Nothobranchius furzeri: one gene and its partners. The protein of the gene in region 2 binds, or shares a complex with, the protein of the main gene of each other region. Links are inferred from orthologs where the notes say so. Each region holds a gene or a part of one and is shown on either strand. Other genes may lie near its edges. The genes, in order: polr1b, taf1a, tbp, polr2h, polr1h, ubtf and rrn3.

Evidence for each region.
Region 1: taf1a (region 2) and polr1b share a complex: the UniProt entries of both Homo sapiens proteins name them as parts of the pol I pre-initiation complex. The link is inferred for Nothobranchius furzeri from reciprocal best matches to the Homo sapiens genes TAF1A and POLR1B.
Region 3: taf1a (region 2) and tbp share a complex: the UniProt entries of both Homo sapiens proteins name them as parts of the transcription factor SL1/TIF-IB complex. The link is inferred for Nothobranchius furzeri from reciprocal best matches to the Homo sapiens genes TAF1A and TBP.
Region 4: taf1a (region 2) and polr2h share a complex: the UniProt entries of both Homo sapiens proteins name them as parts of the pol I pre-initiation complex. The link is inferred for Nothobranchius furzeri from reciprocal best matches to the Homo sapiens genes TAF1A and POLR2H.
Region 5: taf1a (region 2) and polr1h share a complex: the UniProt entries of both Homo sapiens proteins name them as parts of the pol I pre-initiation complex. The link is inferred for Nothobranchius furzeri from reciprocal best matches to the Homo sapiens genes TAF1A and POLR1H.
Region 6: taf1a (region 2) and ubtf share a complex: the UniProt entries of both Homo sapiens proteins name them as parts of the pol I pre-initiation complex. The link is inferred for Nothobranchius furzeri from reciprocal best matches to the Homo sapiens genes TAF1A and UBTF.
Region 7: taf1a (region 2) and rrn3 share a complex: the UniProt entries of both Homo sapiens proteins name them as parts of the pol I pre-initiation complex. The link is inferred for Nothobranchius furzeri from reciprocal best matches to the Homo sapiens genes TAF1A and RRN3.

What each region holds. Positions count from the first base shown.
Region 1 is NC_091752.1:7,765,347-7,768,832, forward strand, and holds the end of polr1b (DNA-directed RNA polymerase I subunit RPA2), read left to right. Parts: coding exon 1-75; intron 76-144; coding exon 145-395; intron 396-1,944; coding exon 1,945-2,827; 3' UTR 2,828-2,986; downstream 2,987-3,486. UniProt on the Homo sapiens protein: Catalytic core component of RNA polymerase I (Pol I), a DNA-dependent RNA polymerase which synthesizes ribosomal RNA precursors using the four ribonucleoside triphosphates as substrates.
Region 2 is NC_091742.1:8,334,908-8,339,104, reverse strand, and holds the start of taf1a (TATA box-binding protein-associated factor RNA polymerase I subunit A), read left to right. Parts: upstream 1-1,397; 5' UTR 1,398-1,559; intron 1,560-1,671; exon of another isoform or gene 1,672-2,090; intron 2,091-4,162; 5' UTR 4,163-4,197. UniProt on the Homo sapiens protein: Component of the transcription factor SL1/TIF-IB complex, which is involved in the assembly of the PIC (pre-initiation complex) during RNA polymerase I-dependent transcription.
Region 3 is NC_091749.1:35,004,844-35,008,203, reverse strand, and holds the end of tbp (TATA-box-binding protein), read right to left. Parts: intron 1,991-3,360; coding exon 1,896-1,990; intron 1,695-1,895; coding exon 1,615-1,694; 3' UTR 501-1,614; downstream 1-500. UniProt on the Homo sapiens protein: The TFIID basal transcription factor complex plays a major role in the initiation of RNA polymerase II (Pol II)-dependent transcription.
Region 4 is NC_091748.1:62,882,983-62,886,988, reverse strand, and holds the start of polr2h (DNA-directed RNA polymerases I, II, and III subunit RPABC3), read left to right. Parts: upstream 1-1,206; 5' UTR 1,207-1,379; intron 1,380-1,612; exon of another isoform or gene 1,613-1,667; 5' UTR 1,668-1,679; coding exon 1,680-1,752; intron 1,753-3,689; coding exon 3,690-3,773; intron 3,774-3,860; coding exon 3,861-3,954; intron 3,955-4,006. Other genes in the region: lisH domain-containing protein ARMC9, read right to left, coding at 79-204, 324-398. UniProt on the Homo sapiens protein: DNA-dependent RNA polymerase catalyzes the transcription of DNA into RNA using the four ribonucleoside triphosphates as substrates.
Region 5 is NC_091751.1:25,535,587-25,539,752, forward strand, and holds the start of polr1h (DNA-directed RNA polymerase I subunit RPA12), read left to right. Parts: upstream 1-1,366; 5' UTR 1,367-1,470; intron 1,471-2,040; 5' UTR 2,041-2,063; coding exon 2,064-2,181; intron 2,182-4,166. UniProt on the Homo sapiens protein: Core component of RNA polymerase I (Pol I), a DNA-dependent RNA polymerase which synthesizes ribosomal RNA precursors using the four ribonucleoside triphosphates as substrates. Can mediate Pol I proofreading of the nascent RNA transcript.
Region 6 is NC_091745.1:10,210,543-10,214,542, forward strand, and holds the start of ubtf (nucleolar transcription factor 1), read left to right. Parts: upstream 1-1,200; 5' UTR 1,201-1,338; intron 1,339-1,833; exon of another isoform or gene 1,834-1,990; intron 1,991-3,472; 5' UTR 3,473-3,494; coding exon 3,495-3,531; intron 3,532-3,702; coding exon 3,703-3,875; intron 3,876-4,000. UniProt on the Homo sapiens protein: Recognizes the ribosomal RNA gene promoter and activates transcription mediated by RNA polymerase I (Pol I) through cooperative interactions with the transcription factor SL1/TIF-IB complex.
Region 7 is NC_091758.1:12,122,455-12,126,387, forward strand, and holds the start of rrn3 (RNA polymerase I-specific transcription initiation factor RRN3), read right to left. Parts: upstream 2,801-3,933; 5' UTR 2,666-2,800; coding exon 2,525-2,665; intron 2,174-2,524; coding exon 2,117-2,173; intron 2,049-2,116; coding exon 1,959-2,048; intron 1-1,958. UniProt on the Homo sapiens protein: Required for efficient transcription initiation by RNA polymerase I (Pol I). Required for the formation of the competent pre-initiation complex (PIC).

The DNA of each region.
Region 1 (3,486 bases), on a different chromosome or scaffold from region 2:
GACAACTACCCTAGTGGCACCAACGCCATCGTGGCCGTCATATCGTACTCGGGCTACGACATGGAAGACGCCATGGTGAATATGAGGTGATTATTTGGAAGCCTCTGTTTGGGACGAGTCGCTGACGCTTGTTGGTTTTAACAGATCGTAAACAAGTCGTCCTGGGAGAGAGGCTTCGCTCATGGGAGCATCTACAAGACGGAGTTGGTGGACCTGGCAGAGAAGGTGAAAGGAGAGGACAGCGTGGTGTTTGGAACCAAGGCAGGCGACCCAAAAGTGAAGGACAGGCTGGATGGGGATGGTCTTCCTCACATCGGATCAGTGCTTCAGTATGGAGACCCCTTCTACAGCTACATCAACCTCAACACGGGCCAAAGCTTCGTCACCTTCTACAAGTAAGAGTTGGTCTTTCTGCTGGTCAACGTTAGACCAGCAGCTTTAGCAAACACAGAAACCAGTCCTACTTTACTACCGGGGTTGGGAGTAACGCCGTTTAAAATAACGGCGTTACCAACAGCGTTCTTTTTTAGGGTAACGGAATAATCTAATTAATTACTTTTCCCGCTGTTGCAGCGCCGTTACCGTTACCGGGGACGGAAGGTTGTGCGTTACTATGTGCGGGTCGAACGTTGAGCAACAGTGTGAGGCTTTCTGACCGCCACACTTCAGCTGCAGCCAGGGAGAGAGAGGTGTCGTAACAAACACGATGGTGATTGGCCGGGTGGGCGGAGACCCTCACGGTCTCGGTCACTGCATGCTGTAGACACAACAGAGCAGTGATGGGAATAACGCCGTTTAAAATGACTGCGTTACAAAAAAAAAGATTTCTTTCTGTAATGAGCAAACTAATTAATTACCGTCTTCTTTTATCAAAACGTCGTTTCTGTTACTGATATGGAAATGCGTGCGTTAAGCAGCGCGGTGTGTTGAAGCTGTCATCAGCTGATCAGGAGCTAAAGAGGCAGATGTTTTCATCCAAGCGCATCACGGCCCGTGAAGAACGAGGAAGATGTGATGAATAGTCTACGCCCTTCTTAGCGTGACAGCGGGGCGTCCTGAAGGTCCGCTCACCTGTTCACCGCTCAGACGTCGTGATCTTCTACCTTCCTAGATCATCCAGCTGTAACCTGTTTCTGATCATGTCTTTAGTCCCGCTGTAACACTGATGCATCAGTCTCAGACGTCATGGAGCTCAGGTGTTATTAGAACTACCTGTGTGTGTTTACCACCCAGCTTCAGCTCTTCTGTGGTTGGGTCTGACCCAAGTTAGTAAATGTAGGTCCTCCATCAGGCTTGTGCCTCTTCTAGTGTCATTTTAAAGGATTTTATTTATTTAACCGTTACTAGATTAGCAGCAACAGAAATGCTGATAATAACAGACAATTATGTGAAGCTGGAAACATTAAAATGTTGTGCAAAACTACATTCATTTCTGTAATTTAACTAGACCGAGAGACCATTTAAAGGCTCGGGAACCTTTACAGGTGTTTCTATTTGCAATTATAAATTTTAGCTGACTGGGGTCTTGTTAAATATCACACAGTGACCTTTTAATAGTCTAGATAAGTGTAATGTTCCTGTTAGTAGTTCCTCCTGTTAAGTGCTTATTTATTTAAATTATGCAGGTTTATAAAAAACATTTGGACATACATTTTATTATGTTCCAGTCATTAGTCATTTATATTTCACCACTGTAGTCGTTTATAGTAAATTAAGTAAGTTCAATTAACCCGTTTTTCTTGCATTCTTTAATGAAAAAAAGTAACTAAGTAGTTATTTTTCTTGGTAATTAGTTACTTTTATAATCTCGTAACTCAGTTAGTAACTGAGTTACTTTTTTGACAAAGTAATTAGTAACTATAACTAATTACTTTTTAAAAGTAACTTTCCCAACACTGTTTACTACTTTTAAACTCTTTTTGCGTTTTTTTTTTTCATCTGCAGGAGCCAAGAGGCCTGTGTTGTCGATAACATAAAGATCTGCAGCAACGACTCCGGTTCAGGGCGTTTTAAACGAGTCTGCATCACCGTCCGAGTGCCTCGAAACCCCACCATTGGTGACAAGTTTGCTAGTCGCCACGGTCAGAAGGGGATCCTGAGCCGCCTGTGGCCGGCGGAGGACATGCCTTTCACCGAGAGCGGTATGACTCCCGACATTCTCTTCAACCCCCACGGGTTCCCCTCCCGTATGACCATAGGAATGCTCATTGAGAGCATGGCTGGGAAGTCTGCCGCCCTGCACGGCCTCAGCCACGATGCCACGCCGTTCACCTTCTCTGAAGACAGCGCGGCGCTGGAGTACTTTGGTAAAATGCTGCGAGCGGGTGGCTACAACTATTATGGAACAGAGCGGCTGTACAGTGGGCTGAGCGGTCAGGAACTGGAGGCTGACATCTTCATCGGTGTCGTCTACTACCAGCGGCTACGTCACATGGTTTCCGACAAATTCCAGGTGAGGACCACGGGAGCACGAGACAAGGTGACCAACCAGCCTGTGGGAGGAAGAAACATCCAGGGAGGCATTCGTTTTGGAGAAATGGAGCGCGACGCCCTGCTGGCTCACGGATCCTCGTTCCTGCTTCATGACCGTCTTTTTAACTGCTCAGATCGCTCGGTCGCTCAGGTGTGCATCGACTGCGGCAGCCTTCTGTCACCACTGCTGGAGAAACCTCCGCCCTACTGGTCTGCCATGCGAAACCGGAAAACCGTCTGCTCCCTGTGTGGCAAAAGTGACTCCATCGACTCTGTGTCGGTCCCGTACGTCTTCCGCTACTTCGTAGCCGAGCTCGCAGCGATGAACATCAAAGTCAAGCTGGAGGTTAAATAAAGTTTTTCAGAAGAGAAACAAAGACTCGTGCCTTAATTATGACTTGAGTGGAAATCAGAATCAAGAAATCAGTGAAACCGTGATGTCGTGTCAATGTGATAGTTTATCAGCCATGATGATGAAATGTTCTCCAAACCCAATAAAAGTATTTAGCTAACAGCGATGGCTCTGTCCTCTTTGAGCCCGACTCGAAGGAATAAAACAGGTCGATATCTATATTTTACCCGCTGTTGTAGACGGTGCTCTGAACAGCCTCAGTTGGGAGAAATAGATTATGTTCTTCAGGACTGATGCCGCCATCTTTAAAAAAACTAAAATAATTCTAACTTTTACACTGAAACACTTAAAAATAGATGAAAAAATAAACGGCAGAAACTTAAGTTGATTTTTTACACTTGGAGAGATATTCCACCCCTAGGTGAAACTTGGTCTGTTGCCATATTCCCCAGAGCTTGATGAGTGGGGAAAACCAATAAGCCCAGTCATTCTGTTAGCTTAGCTTAGCGTAAACAATGGACGGGAATGGTAGCTAGCATTTCAAGCACTCAAATTCCAGAAGACACCAAGTTCTGTAAACACAAATGCGTGGCTGTGGACTCGTACCGGTACAGTTCTTTGAAGGAACAGCATATTCATTTGCACAAAAAATGTCAGAGTCC
Region 2 (4,197 bases):
ACAATGTAAACTTGACTTTACTTTTATTTACAAACGGAGCGTTAAGATAAAATAACTTTCATTTTTATGAGAAAGTTTCTACATTTCCATATTTTACAGGATACAGTTTACATGCACATGTACCATGTTTCATTCCAAGTGATACTTTGTGTCATATTTTACACTTTAACAAAACGTTGTTTGATATTTAATACAGAAATACTCATCCAAGGTGCAGCTAAGTATTGGTCTTTGGGTGCTGCCATAATTTTTTGTGCTTTTATTTATGTGACAGTGTTTTATTGAGGCTTTGTTTGATTTGCATTTGTTCTCATGAACTGTATCCGTATCTGTTTTTCTAAGGTGGTTCTCCCCACACACCAGGATTTGTTGGCTTTTATCCACACTTTGGTTATTTCCCTGAGTGCCAATGTGATTTTTTATTTACAGATTATTACAGATTAGTTTTCTCCCTCCAAAGGCAGGAGTTGGAGTCTTTCCAGTTTTTGGTCACACTTAATGATGCCCACATTAGCAAAAAATGACAACATTTAGACATAAATCATGAACTAATGGCCCCTTCCAAACTGGTTGATAAGCATAAAAATGTTTCTTGAAACTAAGGAGGCAAATAATGGACGGAACTCTTCTGTTTCAAGTAATCATATTTATATGTTTGACATGGAAGTAATATGCATTATTATAAAAGTAAAAAATAGTTGTTAATCGTGGTACAACTTCTTTTTATTTATTTATTTATATATTTATACATTTATTTATTATTATTATTTTTTACCTTTGTCAGTGGATAAAGTTAAAAGCACCACCAAAATAAAAAGCCAAAATGTCAACTTTTTTACTGTTGTATCTTTTTGTCATTTTCACAGGATTGAGAATCGATTGTTTAACAAGTAATTAAAGCACATCCTACTACATAAAAGCTTGTTACTCTGCATATTTTTGTTTGAACTTTCTATGATAGACCAATTGCTTGATTTAAATAGTTTTGTAAGATCATCTTTGTAGATTATTTCTCATGTTTATTAGGCCATTTTGGAACCACTATTTTTCCATTTTGGGGCGTTTTAGTCCTCCTTATGGCAACTATTTCTAGTGATTTCTTTTAAAAAGCTCGGAACATGTTTAGTCTGGCTTACCTCCCTCTTCCTCACCAACTTCTTTTTATGCTAGTGTTTATGTATTTTTCGGCCTCCAGTGTTGTTCAGTTTTATTCCTATGTTTAATCTTGAATTTTTATTATTATCTTTTTAATCAAATGTTTAGCGCTTGCAAAGCGTGTTGTGACTTTTATTTAGAAAAGCCCCAATGTAATATCAGCTCCGCCTTTTCCGGTGTAGTTAACCAATAGCATTGCAGCTTTCTCCCCAGCTTCCTTTAGCCGTACTTAAAACGTGGGTTTTACAAATAAGTCATATGAATATGTATCTCGGTTGTATACACTGATATTATAACACACTTTAAGATATTTTCCGGCATTTGTAGCTCACTTGAATTAGCTTATATAATTTGTAGATTATTCAGCAATCCTTAGAAACACCTAACTTTACTCCTGAGAGGAGGTAAGCTAACAAAGGTTTGTTTACATGTGATCCTGCTAGAGGATGGTTGATTTTTTAAAATCCTGATTGGCTCTTTTTGGATAACAAATAATTTCAATAATTTTGGAAAGTTTTACTTTAGTAAAAGAGGGGTAGATTCCCAGTCTTTCATTGACAGCTATGCTAAGAACGCTAACTAGCTTGTGTGTTAGCAGCACTCTTGAGCAGGTGTCACCAACACAGAGGGCTACCATCCTGCACATGTTAGCTGTTTCTTTGCTCCTACACACCTGATTGAAATGAACGAGTAAATAAAAGGTCTATGCAGAGTTAAGGAGATGATTAAATTACTTCATTCAGGTGTGGTAGAGCAGGAAACAGCTATTTTTGAGAAAGTTGATGATAGGTTTGGAAAATCTCTATTTGCAGATGACGGTGCCATCTGGAGAAGTGGGAGGAATTTTAAGCATTTGTTTTCTCAGACACCGAAAGCTTTAGATCAAATTGTGCAGTGGGCAAATAACGGAGGATTCAAGTTATCTATAGTAAAAAGTAAATTTATGATCTTTGGCTTAAAAAGGAAAATCCCATCTATGAATATTCATATTTATGGCTCTGTGATTGAAAAGGTTTAAGTTTTTGGGTTTGTGGTTTGATGAGAAATTAATCTGGAAAACACATAGAAAGATTAGTAAGCAAATGTGAAAAGGTAATTAATGTCATGAGGAGTTAATCAGGTAGCAGCTGGGGAGCGGAGAGAAGTACTTTACAGTTAATCTATAGGGCTATGATTAGGCCTGTTTTGGATTATGGATGTGTGGTTTTTGGGAAAGCTTCTAAATCTGTGTTGTGTAAATTGGATTATGTGCAGTTTATGGCCCTAAGAATCTGTTGCAGAGCATTTAGATCTACTTCAGTTCCAGCATTGCTGGTTGAAACGGGTGAGTACCCTTTGACAATGAGGAGGGGAAAACTAGGAGTTCATTATTGGCCGGGTTTAGTGGCAGCTTGGCGTATAAATGTCTCATAGATGATTGTCGGGAGTCCAGTGAAGATCAGGATAAGGACAGTTTCCTAAATCATATTGTAAAACTAGTAAATCTCCTAGGACTACAAAAGGAAATGGTGGTGGGGTTAGTGTGGTCTCCAATACCGTTTTGGAAATTACCTGAGCCAGAAGTTGTTTTGGATTTACTAGGATTAGAAAAAGCGGTTGCCATTAAACTGTTAGAAATGTATTTAAGTGTTCAAAGATGCTATCCAAATTTATACTGATGGATCTAAAGAAACTACATTTCATAGAGCTGGTTTTGGGGTTTATATTGTCGAGCTATAAGTTAGGTCAAGTGTTTGTGTGACAGATAAATTATCTGTTTTTTCTGTTGAGCTTTTGGCTATTTTGTAGGCAATGAAGTGGATAGTGGAGCATAAACCATCTCACACTATTGTCTGCTCTGATTCTGCTGCTGCACTGTTGACTCTAAGTAACGGGACATCTGAGGCATGGAATGACTTAGTTTTGGAGATTTTGTGTTGTCTAATGGGCCATTCCCATCTGTACCGGGTCGGCCCGGGCTGGGTTGCGTAGGTTGTTTACATATCTGGGTGGCCTGGTATTTTTCCGGGCTAACCAAGGCTCATTCTCAGCCCTCTTCTCGAGGGGGTCTGCTTCAGGCCGACCAGGGCCAACACACCCACTGCTGACAGCAAATTCACACCTTCCATTAGAGCAAGCCTCTGATTGGTGGGTAGAATCAGCCCACATGGGCTTAAGGCAAGGATGTGTGGAATCAACCGGGCCAGGCTGGGGCCGACCCGGTACAGATGGGAATGGCCCATTAAAGACGCTGAGAATGCGGGTTCTAGGGTGGTATTTGTCTGGGTCCCTGGACATACTGGAATTTTGGGAAATGAAATGGCAGATGCATTGGCCAAAGACTCCATCCTTAGAAATAGCATTGATCATCATCTTCCTCTGGGAAAAAGAGAATGTTAATAGTATGTGCATGCAGTAACTATTTAAAAAATTTGTGGCAGAAAGAATGGGAAGGGGAACGTAGAGGAAGACTTTATTTTCCTTGTCAGCCGTCAGCTCATACTAGTTGGCAACCCTTAACCTGTTGTCGTAGAGATGAAGAGGTGATTGCCAGAATGAGATTGGGGCACTGTGGTCTGGCGGCATGCTTATTTAGGATTGGTAAACATGTAGATGGGTTGTGTGAGTGTGGTAGTTCCAAAACTGTTGTTCATGTATTGTTGTCATAGCCTGGCAAGCCAGACTAAATAAATGTATTATTTAAGATAAGGATTAGCAAACTTTGCAACACAAGGATTTGGTCTAGTTCACTAGGCTATTGTTGTCATGCAGGAAATACAATAGTGAGAAGCGGCAACTTTTTTATGGGGCTGGTGGATTTGGGGATGGAATCTTTTTCCTTTTTTTTTTTCGATTAGTGCAAATTCCCAATGTGTATATAGCTTGATTGTTCAATTCCTTCATCACACTGGCATTTATTCGAGGATATAATGTAGCAGTAATATAACTGTGGTGGGCAGCATTGCACATTCCAGCGTATAGTCTGCTGGAAATTTATTATTATTATTATTATTATTATTATTATTAGAAGAAGAAGAAGAAGAGGAAGAAGAAGAAGAGGAA
Region 3 (3,360 bases), on a different chromosome or scaffold from region 2:
AACGTGTCCTGGGTCGACCCGGGGGCCTCCTGCCGGCAGGACATGCCGAAGCACCTCCCCAAGGAGGCGTCCAGGAAGCATCCTGACCAGAAGCCCATACCACCCTTGTTCTTAAAATTTAATGATTTTGACATGTCAGTTCCAACATAATCACCTACAAATGATTCTCTTTTGACTGATGTTACATGGGAGACAATCCTGACTTGTCTTTTTTATGATGGGTATCAAATAAGCCACAATTCCTTTTGTAAGAATGATTGTATTGTTTAATACACAAATTACTTTATTTCAGATATTCAGAGAAATTATGTATTTTCTGCAGCTCTAACATCCAACTACAACATGTTTTAACTCTTACCCAGAGGTTTTCCCTAAACTATTTCTATACAGGGATTCAGTATTTTAGTCTTCACAGTTTATTTCTTCATGGTGACTTTTGGTTTTACGCAAGAGACTTCAGCTGTAAAATGTTGCTGCAAAGAAAACCAAGTAGACTTGAGTCATATGTACACTTTTATTGGGTGGAAAAGAAAACAATGGACCAAACTTCTTCGAGTCTGCTGGGAGGACAGAAATCAGACAGAAGAGACAAAGATGGAGACTGAACATGTCACTAAATAAACCAGACTTTTAACTAGTTGCCATAAACGTCACTAGCTGACCGTATAACACATAAGACCACCAGCAATGACTTCAATGTGATCCTACTTGAGTTTTAATTTTAGACAAAGGCCAAACAGCCAAAATTCTGCTGATTTGAAACAACCAAAAACATTTTTAAAACTATACTGCATGGGTTTGAAATTAATATTAATCATAAGAGCTTTTTTTCCCTTATATCAATATTGAGCCTACTGAAATCCCGCTGAAGAGCTGCATCGACTTTAAGATTGGCATCACTTCTCATTCTAATTACAGAAGAACATATACACACATTCAAGTTTAACCATTAAACACTTTCTTCCTGTAACCACAACAAACCAGTTCTCTCTTTCAACAGAAAGATTGTTTCACGACTTCAACCAGACAAAGTCGAAAGTTATCAAACGCCTCTAAACAACTTAACTGTTTAGCAGCAGCAAACATTCATGGACAACTTGGCCAGTCAAATAAAGATTAGCTCAGCTTGAGTTAATGGGCGTCTACTCCCAATGAGTGTAAAAAAAAAGTCATTAATCAGGATTATTTTCTACCTTAAGGGAGTAAGCATAGGATTTAAAATCCCAAGTATCATGTACAGCAGGGGATTTAAAGAGAGGTCAACAAATGCTAACAGCTGAGAGTATAAAAGTATTTAAAACAGCTTCACATAAAACCAGCAGTCCTAGTCGTCGAACTGCTTTTCTGCTCAACAACACTTTACATTTTTTACAGTCATATGTACAGTTGGGGATGAGATGGGACAACAAAAACCTGCAACCACAGGACACAATAAACATGGTCAGAGTGAAAGAACAACCTTTAAAATGATGATTAAAAAAATTGAAGACAGAAAGATGGATGAAAAAACTCCCAACACCTGCATCAGTCTACCTTCTCATTAAAAATGTGACATTAAATAATGAATGAAATAAGAGGATCAGGTTTCAGGAGGTGGAAAAGAAACCCCAGGTCCTACGTCGTTTTGCGGAAACCTTTCAGAATGGGGTAAATGTTTTCAAATGCTTCGTAAATCTCTGATCTCACTTTGGCCCCTTCAGGAAAAACAAAAAAGATTGAAACATGGATCAGTATCAAGATGAATCTAGAAAACTTACAGAATCTCTTGTTCTATTTTAAATAAAAAAATTACAATCCTTTCAAAATAAAAGGAGATCCAAAACAATGTGCCAAATTATTAGGTGATACTTTAACTAGAATCTAAAAATACACCCGTCTGAGAGCTCGGGCCTTACCTGTGAGCACTACTTTCCCAGAAACAAAGATGAGCAAGACGATTCTGGGTTTGATCATTCTGTAAATCAGTCCTGGAAACAGCTCCGGTTCATAGCTACAAAACACAAGTTAGACTTTCACAATTATATGAATTTTAAATTAAAAAAATGTACCATTTTTAATTAAATCTTTGCAAACATTAGCGATGCTCAGATCAGGTTTTTTGCTGCTTATGGATTGGCCATAAATGTATCAATGCTGTTATTATACTTGCTACATGATCTGGAATAAAGGAGCAATAATATTGCCCAATTTTGACAAAATCATTTTACAAAATACAAGACTTGTCAGTGTGTTTCTGACCAGAACTTATAAGCCTTCTACTATTTTCAGTTCAACTCAAGATGATCATGTCCAGGATGACAGAGAAGCTTCCCCTTGTGCTTAGGGCTGTAGCGAAGCCTCGACTACGTCGACGGCTCGATTCTAAAAATTTGTCGACGTCAGATCCGGAAGTCGACGCACCGCGCCCACTTGTTGCATCCCCAGGAGTTTGTAAATAGAGGAGGAATCTGCCTGTTTTTCCTCTAGTTCGCCCTCTTCTCCGCCTTCACTAACATCTCCGCCAAATACCGAAGACCCGGAACAATGTCCGTCCACTACTAGATTATTTTCCTGTTTTGCCCGCCTTCGTCTCCCGGCAACGGACAACAACTTCCGGGGTCAGATGCGCTGCTCCGTCTCTATCGCAGATGTAGAAAATCACCGGGAGCGTTTCTCCCTTCATAAAGGAGCTTCTTTCAGACATTAGGAGAGCTGTTTTGGTGGTAGCAGTCTCTCCTCCGTGCTGGTCTGTTTGCTGCTGGGTGTTTTGGTTTATTTAAACTTGGTAACTTGAACTTAACGTTGGTAAAGCTACTGTTAGCATCTTCGCTAACAGCTTCTTGCGTTGGGATAAGCTGTTACGTTTTGGTTTAGAGTTAATCTTTTTTGTGGTGTAGATCTCCCTTTTATTACATTTAGAGTGTTGTGGGTTTTCGGTTTAGTGTAAAATATCACCTTGAGTTTGGTTTAACCCGTAAGACCACTCGCCTCACGCACATAAGTGACCAAAACAAAGCAGCGTGGAGACACTCCATCTTCTACCACCTCTCAGGCAGCAGCCTGCACTCCCAAGTTCTACACGTCACCAGAACATAACCAACCGCAACACAATAAAAGCAGTGTTATACAAAATGGAAGGCCTGTAGTGTTTATTCTCTTACAGTAACAATTTATCAATTTTTTTGAGGAATTTATTTGAGATTTTCTGGTTTTTGTTAATTGTGCAATAGAAAAATAATCATTAGATTAATTTTCTAAATAGTCATTAGAATAGTCGACTATTCGATAAAATAATCGTCAGAATAATCGTTTTAAAAATAATCGTTTACCCCCAGCCCTACTTGTGCTGTATTTTTGTTACAGGATGCAAAGTTTAGATCA
Region 4 (4,006 bases), on a different chromosome or scaffold from region 2:
CTACATAAACGTCTCCCCACTATGACAGAAAACACACCAACATAGCAGATTTCCATGTTGAAGAAGAGCATTGTTTACCTGAATGACACGAGTCTTAGAGTCTCTTAGAGCATTTCCTCTCGGTTTTGAGACCAGCTTGCCTTTCCTTTTGCATTCCTTGTCAAAAACCTGAACAGTCTCCTCAAACTCCTCAAACGTGAGGTACTGCAACAAACAAACAAACATGATTCAACTTAAACAGTGAAGGATGACACTGAGTTTTGGTGCATTTCATTCATTTTCAGCGAACATCAATATTGCTGTGACCCAGATATCTTCTCTACCTCTTTGATCATCCCAAGAAGATCAGCTTCTGTTGCCAAGACGTCCCCCATCTTGGCTTCCTCACTGGAACTCATGTGTGTACCGAAAACATTTAATACCCCTTTAGACGGGAACGATTTCTGCTTTCATTCAAAAACGTTTATAGATCTAGGGTTCAAGCTAAAAGGTGCAAGAACAAAAGAGCAAAATACATAAGTAAAAACTTAATTCTATGAGCAGTAGTAAAAATAACCAAACACCAAAACGCACAACGGAATGCTAGTGTAACTTCGGCAGGCATGTGGGGTTTTATACCATCTTAAATGGTTTAACATCAAGATTAGCAACAACTTATGAAGCTACAAGCTATCTAATTAGTTGACACACGACAGGACATTAACATGGCTCCTACCTTATTCGCACGTAATTTGATTTGGGAGAATTGACGTACAAACAAGTTTGTGATGCGTTAACAAGTAAACGAGATCCATAAAGTACATTTTTGCTCGCTTTGTCGGACAGTGAACGAAAAAATAGCTGGCAACCACAAACAGGAGGGACGCTAAAAATACCTAGCAACCAGAGGGTCACCGGAAAGTAAATGTGAGTGTCGTAAACTAAAACTAACTAAATGTATTATATTTTACAAGAAAATATATTGAATAACCTTAAGTTATGAGGCATGCGATTTAGAAAAACAAAAGTAAACGATTGTAAATTATAACAACGCACAGACAAACGTAATTGTTGACCTTTTTTAGGATACATTATGCAATTTTAATGGTAAAACTATTATTTTAGTACGAGTATTATATTTTTACAATTTCTTATGTTTTACTTTGCTTTTTAACATAAACATTTATTTTTTCATTTTATTTTGTTTTATGAGAAGTACTTCCCGTGTCAAAGGTTAATCACGTTGTTTCTGCGCGCCACAGATTGGCTAGATAGCAATGAATTAAATTACTCTTAAATAACAAATCTAGCTTATGTTTTGAACAGTCGCTGTTGTCCTAAAGAATCGAGTAGTTGCGAGGCTTCTGTGTTTGCATTACGACATCTAAAAATAATTTGGGGTAAGTGCAACAAATGAATTAACAGTATGCTAAAGCTAGCTGTTAGCCAAAATAGGAGATTCAACGTGGAAGATAAAACTTGCCAACTTTAACTGACGTATGTCCTAGTCTTATTTTTATATAAAAGTATTTTATGGTAATATGCTTATAGCAGTTGATTTCTTGTGCTACCTAACGTTTCATTGCTTTTTAAAAGTTACTATAGTTTATTACGTTTTATTTTTTGTTGACAGGTTGTTCAAGTCATAACAGGGGCTTAAACATTTGATCCCCTGCACAAATTCACAGAGTGGGCCAACGATGGCTGGAATTTTGTTTGAAGATATCTTTGATGTGAAAGACATTGATCCAGATGGCAAGAAGTTTGACAGAGGTACTTATGAAGTACAATAACGTATTGGGGTGACTTATTTAATTATTCCATCATATTGTTTTTGTCGTATTGACATAATGCACAGGTATATTGACTCATGAGTAATCATTTATTCTACGTTTTTATTTGCCCACGTTAAGGCAGACTTTACATAGTGATGTTAAAGAAAATCTGGCATCCTGAAGTTAAAAGCTAATATAAAATTGAAAGACATTCAGCTCATTAAGAGAGCAGTTAAAAAACCAACTTGCTTATTGGATTTAGTTTATACAGGTGCTGGCCAGTAAATTAGAATATCATCAAAAGGTTGAAAATATTTCAGTAATTCCATTCAAAACGTGAAACTTGTACATTATATTCATGCAATGCACACAGACCAATGTATTTCCAATGTTCATTACATTTAAATTAGATATTCATAAGTGACAACTAATGAAAACTCCAAATTTGGTATCTCAAAAAATTAGAATATTCTGAAAAGGCTGAATATAGAAGACACCTGCTGCCACTCTAATCAGCTGATTTACTCAAAACACCTGCAAAGGCCTTTAAAAGGTCCCTCAGTCTTGTTTTGAAGGCACCACAATCATGGGGAAGACTTCTGACTTAACAGCTGTCCAAAAGACAATCATTGACACCTTGCACAAGGAGGGCAAGACACAAAAGGTGATTGCTAAAGAAGCTGGCTGTTCGCAGAGCTCTGTGTCCAAGCACATTAACAGACAGGCGAAGGGACGGATAAAATGTGGTAGAAAAAAGTGTACAAGCTCTAGGGATAACCGCACCCTGCAGAGAATTGTGACGACAAACCCATTCAAAAATGTGGGGGAGATCCACAAAGAGTGGACTGCAGCTGGAGTCAGCGCTTCAAGAACCACCACGAGGAGACTCATGAAAGACATGGGATTCAGGTGTCGCATTCCGTGTGTCAAGCCACTCTTGAACAAGAAACAGCGCAAGAAGCGTCTCGCCTGGGCCAAGGACAAAAAGGACTGGACTGATGCTGAGTGGTCCAAAGTTATGTTTTCTGATGAAAGCAAGTTCTGCATTTCCTTTGGAAATCAAGGACCCAGAGTCTGGAGGAAGAGCGGAGAAGCACAGAATCCACGTTGCATGAGGTCCAGTGTAAAGTTTCCACCGTCAGTGATGGTGTGGGGTGCCATGTCATCTGCCGGTGTTGGCCCACTCTGTTTCCTGAGGTCCAGGGTCAATGCAGCCGTCTACCAGGAAGTTTTAGAGCACTTCATGCTTCCTGCTGCTGACCAACTTTATGGGGATGCAGACTTCACCTTTCAACAGGACTTGGCACCTGCACACAGTGCCAAAACCACCAGCACCTGGTTCAAGGACCATGGTATCCCTGTCCTTGATTGGCCAGCAAACTCGCCTGACCTTAACCCCATAGAAAATCTATGGGGTATTGTGAAGCGGAGGATGCAATACGCTAGACCCAACAATGCAGAGGAGCTGAAGACGACTATCAGAGCAACCTGGGCTCTCATAACACCTGAGCAGTGCCACAGACTGATCGAGTCCATGCCACGCCGCATTACTGCAGTTATTGAGGCAAAAGGAGCCCCAACTAAGTATTGAGTGCTATACATGCACATTCTTTTCATGTTCATTCTTTTCAGTTGGCCAACATTAGAGAAACAAACATTTTTTCATTGGCCTTTAGAATATTCTAATTTTCTGAGATACCAGATTTGATGTTTTCATTGGTTGTCACCTATAAATATCAAAATTAAACGTAATAAACATCGGAAATACATTGGTCTGTGTGCATTGCATGAATATAATGTACAAGTTTCACGTTTTGAATGGAATTACTGAAATATTTTCAACCTTTTGATGATATTCTAATTTACTGGCCAGCACCTGTATAACCTACAGCAGACAATGTTTATAATCTACTGACAAATTCTCACCTATTGCAGTGTCTCGTCTGCACTGTGAGAGTGAATCTTTTAAGATGGACCTCATCTTGGACGTGAACATTCAGATCTATCCTGTGGATCTTGGTGAGAGCGTAAGCCCTTTTACCGAGGGCACTCTTATTTAGTTAATTCTTAATACAATAAAAATCTGACTTATAACATATTATAAAGGTGACAAGTTTAGACTGGTGATTGCCAGTACTTTGTATGAAGATGGAACACCGGATGATGGAGAGTACAATCCTCAGGATGATCGACCATCTCGGTGAGACATTTTTTGCACTCTTCCATCATCTCGTAGTGTGTGTGATCTTTTG
Region 5 (4,166 bases), on a different chromosome or scaffold from region 2:
CATCCTGTCTATACTTGTGTGAAAGCAAAGAGTTGGTTGGTAACACAATCTAAGGGTGGATCTGTTAGTCAGGAAGCACTGATGACTTCGAGTAAGTGTTCTGCAGGCAGGACTGGGATGATTTAAATCCAGAAATTTGTCACTGAGGCATGTGAGACATGATGGTAGAATTGATATGTTGTTAATAAAGTTGCTAAAACATTTTAATCTTCATGATAACATTTTGCAACACGACCTTCAGTCACAAAGCTTTATTCTAATGCTCCACTTTTTGTAATCTTTTTCTGGGATGTCTTGAAAACAACAAAGGAAGATGAAACAACCTTCTGTGATCCATCCACGTCTGCTGGTGAAGTTCCGTTTCCTCCCTGACACATTATATGGCAGGAATTGATGGACCATTTAATTACTGAATGTGTGATGTCTACATCATCAAAGAAAGATTAATACTTGCATTAGGGCTTATTGTTTGTCATTCTTTTACTGTGTTCAAATTATGAATTGTATTTTTGATTTTCATTAACATTTAAAAGGAGTCCACAAATAATATAATATGGAAACAATTCATTAAAATAAAACACCTATGGAAAAGTCAGACATCCGTTCAAATTTTCTACATACATGCACCAAACAAATGAATGATCATAGGTTTCAGCCTGATAAGAAAACACAGCATCACTGTCTCAGCTGGTCGGTTCCAGTTTCACTCCAATGTGAACTAAACTAAATCAGAAAATTTCAAAATTTGTGATTTTAAGAACATTTGGTTTGTGTGACATCTGTAACCACCGATGTGTAGATTATTCTAGTGGCCTTTTTTTTCTTCTTCTTTTTTTTTTTTTTTTGTAAAATAGATAAAAATAAACAGTTATGAGCAGTACTGTTTTTGACATGGGCGACCTGGGTAATGGCCCAGGATGGCATCATGAGAGGGGTGGCAAAATGGGTACGAAAAAAAAACTTATTTTGGGAGCGCAGTGCCTGAACATTATGCTGGTGTGTGTAACTTTTGGAAACATTTGTTCTGCTGCGTGCTGCAGAGGGAGGAGGACAGGTCTGCTGAAGCGGCTTGAGTGAAGCAGCATCTAAAAGTAAAGTGTGTTCGCCCAGGGCACCGAACAGGCTAGGACCACCCCTGGTCATTGTTGCCCCAAATCTCTGCACAGTAATTATGAGTTTAGTGTTGTTTATTATTTCCACGTATGCTTTACTTTGGTATTGAAATGCTTCTGGAGATGCTATATGATATTTCCACCTTATTTTATTGTTTGACACCATTTAATGGTATTTGCGAATTAATTTAATTATTCCCAAATAACATTTTGGTCATTAACTCATGTCACGTAAACAAGCGTGCGACACTAGCACGTCCTGCGTCATCAGCCTGCGACAATAACGTGATAGGACCATATACATAGCTGTGGATAGGACCCTAGGACCTCTACTGCAAACAAGTGACCGGTGAAAGAGGTTTGTAACGTTTTATACTGACTTAATAAATGATGACAGTAGCGCTGTTTTGAACTAAATGTGTAAAGAATAGCCGAATACTAATATAAACATGTAAAAGGTTTCCAAGTAGCTCCACGTGCTCAATGTGCTGCTGCTACTACTGCTAATAATAACAATAACATTCACTCGTTAGATTTCATCACACAGCCAGGAGGTCTTTTAAAGTGTTAATTTATAAAGTGCTAAGTCTTCATAACGGAAGTTACGGTGTAACTATGGTTCTGTGAGTTCCTGGATGACTGCCAGTCACAGGGGTCACTCGGAACTTCTCGGGCGAGAAGATCCCGGGAGACCCGAACGTAGCTATCGGCGCGTAATTTATAGACTCGCGACCAGGTGCGCTACGTGTCACGTGCGTGACTTTGTTTACATTAGTACTCGACCTGCGCAGAGCGCGAGGAGATACATCCACTCTGTTTACTGCCACTGGCAGTCAGGAGGGAACGAAACAGAACCCATGTGAACCGAACGGGAAACCAGTGGTTCATGGTTTTGATTGTTGTTTTCAACGTGTCTGTGTTTCTCAAGAGTCAGCAGCCCGGTTCGACGGGATGTCTTATTTTAGTGGTGACCCGAACTTCTGTCCTGAATGCGGGAACGTTCTTCCGGTACCAGTAACCTCCAACACTGTCCTGTGTCCTCGCTGCTCCTTCTGCATTCCTGTTTCAGGTAACGTGTCCCAGAGCCGTTTCTAGCTTTGTGAGGGCCTGATTCAAGAGGCTGTTTGGGAACCCGGGTGGAGGTGGTGATGATTCCTCAAAGTACCACAAGTGTAGTAAAAAGAAAAAAAAATCACTTCACAGTAAATGTATTTAACGTGATAGTGATGCACCGATATGAAATTTTTGGGCTAAAACAAATATACAATATTAATATCACCGTTATGGCCGAAAACCGATACCGATATACCGACATTAATGCTTCTAAAATCAGCAGATTTTGTGTAGGGCTTGTGATCACACGTGATTACGCATAGCATTCTGCAAACTGTGAAATAAACGGTACTGTCGCAGAGTAGAAGCAGATTTGGGTGAAAGAAAGTGTTAAATCACATAAAATCCCAACAAGGATGTGGAATATACAGGGACATGTTATATAAAGACGTCGGGGACCGGTATGTGGACAAAATCATCATTATAAATGGTTTTGATCCACATAAAAGACCCAAGACTGGAGCACTGGTGACATATTGTTGCAGCTGCAGTTCTGCATAACAGACTTTTTCGGCTATCTTGTTTAACGTCCAGATGAGAGGTAAACGTTTAATTTGTTGGTTTTTCTAGTAAAACAATCAAAATTGTCATCCCTCAGAAGAAGTGTAGCGAGAAAAGTTATGTTGTGTATCATTAGCTTACCGGTAGGTGAGTGTAGCCTCTGTGTACGTGTGTGTTTCGTGTGCATGTTGCGGTTGAGGGAAAGAAACGATGTATAAAAACGTACACCATCTGTAATTTACCAGAATGAAAATAATTTGGAAGGTGATGTTTGGTCGCCTTACAGCTGCGATCCAAGTGAGCTAACAAGACTTTATGCTAGATACTTGGTCTCTGTCGTTTTGCCACTAAACAGGAAAACTGTGGAAAGTTAGCTTGTTTTTCACCTTAATTCCACTGGCGATCACGTGTGTCACATGAATTAATAATACATAAAAAGTATCAGCTGTTGTGCTACAGCTACTATTTACCGTCTATGTGGTAGATTACTGTAAATACAGGCATGAACATGTAAGCACACAAACAAATACATATATCAGGTGCATCCTGCATGGAGTAGTGACCGTAGCGTTTAAGTGGCTGGCTGACTAATGACGTCATAATGTGTTATAAATCCCATCTACTGGTGGAATCGGTGGTCTACGGGAGTGCTCCTTCCTGCAGCGGGGGTATATCAGTTTCTGACTGAATGAGCTGCTCAGGTTGATGTGTGTTGTTCATGATGGATGTTAGCTTAGCTAGCATCCTCCTCTCGCCCACCACCGATTCCAGGGGGCATCCCAGTACAGAGCTAGTCCTCTGCACCAGTTTGCCAATTCTGTTCTGGTCCCTGTCTGTACATCCGCTTCCCCAACAGGCCACTGCATAGAAAAGGGCAGATGCAACCGACAAATCATAAAAAGTCCTTCACAGAGTTCTGCATACTCTGAAGGACCTCAGTTTCTCAGCAGGTGGAGTCAACTGCATTTGAGATGGGCAGATGAAGGACAGTCCTTGTGGTAACTCTGGGAGAGCTTAGTCTGACTGATTGTTGCCTTTCTCCTTTATTGTTTTTTCATTAAAAACAATACGCATCCAAGAAGAAGAAGAAGAAAAGATCTCTTCTATAGCGCCTCTCAAGATAAAAATCACGAGGCGCTTCACAAAAACAAAAAATGTAAAAATATAAAAAAGAATTTAGAAAATGATTAAAAATATATTTAAAATGAGCAAAAGATAGACAATTGTGATTAAAAATGTAAATAAAGAGAGAGATTGAATAGGAAAGAGGGAAATCCAACACAATTATCTTGAATTTTAGAAACACACACACTTAAAAAATACATATTTCAATCAGGGATTACAATTATTATTTTTTTTTTCAAAATTTATCGTTTTAGCTTTTTAGAACAGTTTAATTTGCTTGTTGCTGTCATAACAAAAACACCTACAAAAACTATT
Region 6 (4,000 bases), on a different chromosome or scaffold from region 2:
GCCAAGAGTCTTAATGAGATAAATTATAGTAGGATTGTTCCTCAGAGAGAAATGTGTTCGTTATTCTTATATTATGTTTAAAATACTATTTAAAACATAAACGTTCTAAAAACATGATACGCAAGCATAATATTCTACATGGGAAAATTACTATTTTAGCTGCCTTTTTATCCTGCTAATAGGTTAAATAGTTGGTTTTATTTTTAAGTCTAGTATTGTCTAGTTTTATTCAGCCATATTCATGATTTCAATCTTCATCAAAGGCAAAACAAAAAAGTAATTAACAATTACACGTTAAATTCGATTTAATACTTTGTAACCACATACAGGAAACATGATATAAATTACTGTGAAAGATAAATACGAACAGGATAATTGAAATTTAAGGTAAACAAAAAAGATAACACAATTGAATTCTTCAAACTATATTATATAATTTTAATTGTAATTGTAGAAGTTTATTTAAACAGTGACAGTGCACAACTTGACATTAACCACAAAAGAAAGATGCAATGTACCAGGTTATAGTGGGGATGCTAATTTCCACCTGTAGTGCCTGGGAAGGTTGATATTAAAATCACTAAACTAAAACAAAAGACGACTGTTTTTGTCCAGTTAGCTAAATTCCTGACACTAATCCAATAATACTTTATTCCTACTGTAAGTGAACATAGCACAGTTTAACAAGACTGAGTGCCTGAAAGTCTTTGTTTTCCTTCAATCGGACGGACTGGATTGGACGGCCGGGGGTTCCGCCCACAAACACACAAGGTGGAGTTGAAAAAATAACATGCTGGGCTAAAATGAAGCTGTCAAACAGCCAGTTACGTTTGAGTCAAAGAGGTTTGGTGCCGGGGGAACGGCACGGACACCGGAAATAAGAGTTAGGAGAATAATCAGACACTGATTGGTGTCAATTATAAACTTTAAAGATGTGTGCGTTCAATGAAAAAAAGTTCACTGGTGGCGTTTAAATTAGGTAACCAGTAAAGCGATTTTTCTTTCAAGTGTAGGCAGACGAAATGTTAGAGATGCAAACTTCAGTGGGAGACGTGAAAGTCGGGCTCGATGAGAAACAATAAACTCTGCTGGCTGAGCTCAGAAAATCAGCGGCGTTAACACTGGGGAACATGGGGATGTGTCGGTGTAGCGGAAATGGTTGGATGGAGAGAAGAGAGCTGCTGCACGTTGACTGGAGGGAGACAGCGAGAGAGATGGAGGCGGGGGGAAGGACCATCTCTGCGGGGACTGGAGCCCAGGACCGACGGCGCAGTGCTGGCTATCGTTCAACCCTCCCCTTCTTCATCCACAGCGACGCGGAGGCTCGCGCCGAGACAGGTAAGCAGCACGAAAGTCGGTCGGTTTCATAACCACACGTGGAAAGAGCGCGATAAACAAACCAGAAAAGCGGTTAAAAGTCGAAAAATAGACATTCTGTTTTTAATGTTGTCTACCAAAGCTCCTTAGGCGGCAGGATCTTTGTGGTAACGAAACAAACTCCCCGCTGGAAGGGCGCAGACGAGGTCGGCCTTACCCGAATTTCTCTGCCCAAACAGCGGGGAAGAAGCTGGATGTAAGACCCAGTGGTATGATGTCTACTATAAATTACACCCAGTGAATTCATGAAGCGAATTAGTTTCACGTAGCATCGGGATTTAGCTAAGCAATCGTTTGTTTCGCGTGGGGAAATGTTTTCCGGTAGTTTCCGCGCCGAGACCTCCACGCGGCTGTTGGCGGAACAGCTAGCCGCCTCTCGGTCAGCCATCAGGGATCTCGGTTTAATATCTCACCGTGAGGAGACTCGCCCTCCCCTCTCCCCCTCTCTCTCTCACTGACTAGCCCAGAACCACCGACAACCGAGCTCGGAGAACCCGCCTTTCCGTCCTCGCTTATGCGCTTTTTGGAGCTAGGGAAGGGAGTCTGCAACGCCCCGGCTAGAGCTTTCGGCTCCGTTTTCAGTGTTCGCAGTACGCCATTGGACCTTGTCACGGTAGGTTTGCTTACAAGAGCGGGGCTGGTAGCATGGCGGACCTGGAGCCGTTTTGTCGCGCCAGAGAAGCTGCTCAGCCGCGGATTGTTCTTTAGATATCCGATAATGAAAGAGCCGATTAAAGCCCACATTTTCCTCGAAACGGAGAATAACTAACACTAACATGAAGTAATTCAAAATTAGGTCAATAATGTTGTTTCACCGTACATATATTTTTTATTTTAATTATGTTTCGCGCCTCCGCAAATAATTTAACCTAACATTTATTAATTTTCGATCTGGTGTAACTTAATTTAGAATATTTTGGAGCATTTTGTATGGTTGTCAAATAATTCATGTTAATTATACGTTGTAAACACAAGTTAATGTGATCCCTAAATCGTCCTTGTGTGACACAAATTTTGATTAGTAGCAAATACTGTTGACTAACTGTGCTACCTTAGATGCTGGTATGATTTTAGGCTTCTTTTCGACATGCTAAGTTACACGGCGTCTTATGTTTTTTTTTCCACATTTATGTAGTATTTTTGACTAAACGTCATAAATCCGACGTTTGAATTTGACATTCTGCGCATTTTACATAAGAAATATGTCGAAAGTAGTGTTAGAAACGACGCGAGGAGACACGGTTGAGCTATCAAGGACAAGATGAACAACGGTCATCCGCCATCATTGGAGCACAGCTCGGCTACGCCTCGCTGAAGAATGCTCTGGCTTTTTGGTCCAAAAAACAACTGCGTGATACCACAAAGCGAACAAAATGTTGAGTGAATTATTCTAAAACGCACACATAAACCCCCTCACGCGTAGAATGCTAGTTTAGTCGTTCTTGTTTTGGGTAAACATTAGTGGAGAAGACTTTAGGGCTGCGTGGCGGAGCTAGATCCACGTCCAACGGTGATGAGGCGTCTCCGCCGAGTGGCGCATTTGGCTGCAGTGCTTCCAAGCTGCCATTCCAGGCTGTCGGAGACCGAAAGCAGATCCCCCGTCCGTGGTCAGCTGGTCGCCTACAGCTGCCTGTCTGTCCACGTTCATTCGCTTCCTCCTTCCGTGGATCCTCCCCAACCTCCGCTCCGACAGAAAGTCCTCCATTACCGAGCAGACCGAGCGAGAAAATGGTCGCTCCTGAGCGTCCACGATACTTCTGTTGTAGAATAAGGACAGCACTAATTCGCCAAATTCCGGTTGGCCCAAAAATAAAAAATAAAAAAAAATAAAAAAGAAGCTCGACAGGGACTCCTGTTGTCGTCGCTAGATATGCTTAGTTGAAGCCCTCCGCAGTGTTATTTGAGATTTGAAGCCGTCACAAGCAATAGCCTATGCCTCACCATGCAGCGTAAACGTTTAGGGGCGGTGTAATGAACATAAACCATTATGTCGGCACACATTTCAACTCAAACGACTTACAACAGAGATCAGTTATAATAAAGTTAGAAAATATGAATTTTAGTGATTTTGATTAATTTATTGTTTCTTTTGTAGTTCAAAAATCGCATTTTCACAAATGAATGGAGAAATGGAGGCAGCGACACATGACCAAGGTAGTATATTTATGAGTCATTTTTATTTATATATATTTTTTTAACAAATGACAAATACTTGTATAATCACGAAATTGTTTTAATGAATTCCACATTTTGTCATCATACTATAAACATAATGCAACCATACTAATAAATCCATGAACCAGTTTACATGTATTTTTTTATCAGTGTGGTCGCAGGATGACCTCCTAAAGCTGCTGGAGGCCATGAAAGTGGCTCTGCCACAGAAAGATCTGACTAAATACAAAACATCCGAGTCCCATCTGGACTGGCAGAAGGTGGCCTTCAACTCCTACACTGCAGAGATGTGTAAACAGAAATGGCAAGAGGTCTCTAAAGAGGTGAGATGCTCAGATCATGATTTTTAGGTCGTAAACCTTTTCAGATGTAATATTTAGATTAAGTTCTTAAAGAGGTCCTCCAATGAGAAACAAGTTTGTCTTATTTTTGGAAATGATCTGTTACA
Region 7 (3,933 bases), on a different chromosome or scaffold from region 2:
TGTGTAGATCTAGAAGGGCCTACAGCATTTGGACATCTGAGGGGCACGTGGCTACTCGGCTGTTTTATATTGTTAGCTAATCCTTTACAAATCTACTTTACTTCTATGAAAGGCCATTTTTTGTTTGTGTGCGATTTAAAAACAATGAACCTGCAAATCTTTGATGTAAAATGGTCAAAAAGTTGGGTGCTCTTCAGAAACACCGTTAGCTGTACCAACGCAACCAGTGTGTGGGTTTCCCAGCCCCCCGGGGGCTGCTGACCCCAAGGAGAGCCCCTGTGTGTGGGGGGGGGGGGGGGGGGGGGGTCCTTGAACACAAGTAGCTGAGCTGACTTTCCTCTGCAGCCTTAAAGCCGGGCGTACACTGTGCGACTTTTTCACTCGCAGCGTTCAGCTTCAGCTCAAACTGTACGACTTCCTCACAGAGCAGATCTCACAGTCGTGTGCTCACACTGCACGACCCAGTTCTCGCATGCGACCTGACTGCTCACACTGTACGTCTGGTAGCAACACGTCGGCCCTAAAAATGTGCTAAAAATAGCAGTTTTTACTCAACACGTCAGACTTTTTTGTCTTGTTTTGCCTGTTGTCCTTCGGTAGTGCTGCAGGAGGACACACAGGGATTTATGGGGGTTGGATGAGGAAAACGAAATAAAGAAAGTAAATCTGTGTTTTGTGATCAGTTTAATTTGACATGAACACGACAAACACGCTTTCTTGACAATCTTTGTGAGTAAAAAAACGTGTAGAAACAAAAATGAGCAGCGTGTTATTAGGGAAATAGCGAGCGACCGGCCGGCGTTGATGCAGGATTGCGCGCGCATGCGCCGTGAGCGGTTCTGATACTTTTTGGGTCGCAGCTGCTCGCAGCGCCGCTTCAACAGTGCGATACCCTCACGAGGGACGAGCGAAATATTAAACACGCCAGAAGTCCCTGCGACCTCACGACTGCTGATCGGCGGCTGGTCACGTGGTGTTACTCGCCTCTCGTAACCCCCTGTACACTACACGACCGCTCGGCGCAAAACTCGCCCCGATCTTGTGGATTCTCGCACGACTGGAAAATCGGCTCAAAAAAGTGAAAAAGTCGCACAGTGTGCGCTGAGCGTCGTGTAGTGTACAGGGGTTACGAGAGGCGAGTAACACCACGTGACCAGCTACCGATCAGCAATCGTGAGGTCGCACAAACTTCTGGCGTGTTTAATATTTCGCTCGTTCCTCGTGAGGGTATCGCACTGTTGAAGCGGCGCTGCGAGCGGCTGCGACCCAAAAAGTATCAGAACCGCTCACGGCGCAATCCTGCATCAACACTGCTCGTCCGCTATTTCCCTAATAACACACGCTGCTCATTTTTGTTTCTACACGTTTTTTACTCACAAAGATTGTCAAGAAAGCGTGTTTGTCGTGTTCATGTCAAATTAAACTGATCACAAAACACAGATTTACTTTCTTTATTTTGTTTTCCTCATCCAACCCCCATAAATCCCTGTGTGTCCTCCTGCAGCACTCCCGAAGGACAACAGGCAAAACAAAACAAAAAAGTCTGACGTGTTGAGTAAAAACTGCTATTTTTAGCACATTTTTAGGTCCGACATGTTGCTACCAGACGTACAGTGTGAGCAGTCAGGTCGCATGCGAGAACTGGGTCGTGCAGTGTGAGCACCTGACTCGTGAGATCTGCCCTGCGAGGAAGTCGTACAGTGTGAGCTGAAGCTGAGTGCTACGAGTGAAAAAGTCACACAGTGTACGCCCGGCTTAGGAGGAAGGACTAGATCCACCTCCTCCTCCTCATGAATAGGAGCCAGCTGACATTGCAAACAGCTAACAATTGTTCCCTATAATTACAGAAATCACTGAACTAAGTTCTGTTTTCAATCAGATAATCTAAGGGAAATGAACCATCTAATCTGATCAAATGAAGGTTTGAGCTCTCCTCATCAGTGAAGCTGTCCTCTCACCAGAATCGTGTAAACCAGCTGCTCATGGTCCTTTGTCAACTGAGTCACACAGCTCCGAAACTCCTGCAGCCAGCTGATGAGCTGAGCATCCTGTCCAGAGAGACATGACCATTATTCGCACCTTCACACCGACCCAAGATCAGCCTCAGAGGTTTTACCTTGATTTCAGGATCCACCAGCTGATGCTTCAGCAGCTCGTAGTCATTTGTGTCCCCCTTCAAAAACAGACAAGCGCCTCATCAGGACACAGGGCTCTTAGAGGAAGGTGAAAGGAGCTGCTCCTGCTGCTAACAATCGTATCAAACTAAAGTAAAATGATTCTGCCACAGCACAACCACCCAGGATATTTCACCTTCCACCTGTATTTGAAACATTCATGTTTTTGGTTTAAAGTTAAAACTCATTCCTCGTCTTTTAACCCTCGAGGCACCTTGGGTCCCAATTAAACATGTTGCTTTTTTATCTTTAACATCTATCAGTTTAAACTTGGCCGAGATCATGTTAAGCCAGAGAAGTCTAGCTGTTGTCTTTACCATGCCCTGGACTGGACCAGCTACAGCACTCACGTGTCTGGCTTTCTCCAGAGTCTCCGCTACGCACCCCCCAAACCGGACCGTCTTGGCCGGAGGAGAGTTGAGGAAGTCCCTACCGTCTGCATCCATGGTTCCGGCCACGCGCTGGTTTCCACGAGCTAACGTGGCTATCATCAAACTAAACGTATACGTTAACGTATTCTCTCATTTCACCGGAATAAAGACGGGGAACAATATCAATACAAGACCCCAAAACACTAGTGAAAAGCAAAGGCAAGCTGCTGTGAGCGCAGGCGGAAGAAATCACGTGTTTCCGGAACAGAGTGATGAGGTGTCACATTAAAACTCTTCCCGCGGTGCGCGAGACCCACTTTTTTTTTTTTTTTTTACAGTAAACAGAAAAGCATTATTTTACGATAAATAACTGTGTTTCACCCTGAATGTAATATTAGCTAAATATAGTTTCTGTAAGAATTTACCACCTGTGTGCTACAAGATTGCTAATTCAAAATATATAATGTGTTCATCAGGGAAAACAAATGTTAAATTTAAGCACCTGAGAATTATTTTTTTCACAGTTCATCAATTTCTTTGAAGTGTTGAGCATAATTAACTAAAACTGTGGATTTTTTCACATAGCAAACTGTGATCATCACATCTACTGTGCCTCTGAAACTTTATATCTTTATTGTACTTTGTTTTGTTTCTCTACCAGACTAGTGTGTCATTTAGAAAAACATATTACCTCAAGCACATTTTAAGGGGAAAAAAAAGTATTCTACTTTTTGCTAAAATAAATAGGTGAAAAGAAAAATAAACACTTCAGATCAATGTTGTTCTGCATCCTGGAGAAAAACCAGTGGTCTCTCTCAACTAAGTTCAAAGGTCACAACCTGATACCCATGTTGGGTGGGACTGGCTACACTCTTTTACAGGGCTTGACTGGGTTGATTTAACCCTCTAGAGGTCGGCGTTGCAGATGTGCAACGTTAAAACCTACCTACCTGGTTACCCCACACATGTATTTCATGAGCATGTTTTAACTCAGAACCCCTGAAGGACTTAGTTGTTCGTCCTTTTATCAAAACTTATTTTTGAGCCTGAGAGGGTAAATGCATCCGATTTTATTTTGCTGCTTTACGTCGTGATGAAATGAACGGATGAAATCCACAGGCTGCATCCCTTCAGACAAACTTTGGTGTACCTGTTTGGACTGAGAACGTCGGAAATAAAAAGAAACAGTAATCGAGTTAATCAGAAACTCCTTCAGTGACCACCGAGTCTCAGAGTCAATCTGTCTGCCAGCTGAAGCTTGAACTGAACCAGATCATCAAACAGATCCATGACCCAAACACAACAGCAGAACTACCAAGGAATCCAGGGGCGGAAGTGCTCTAGTCAGAGTCCAGGGGCCATGCCCCCCCCCCCCCCCCCCCCCTTAA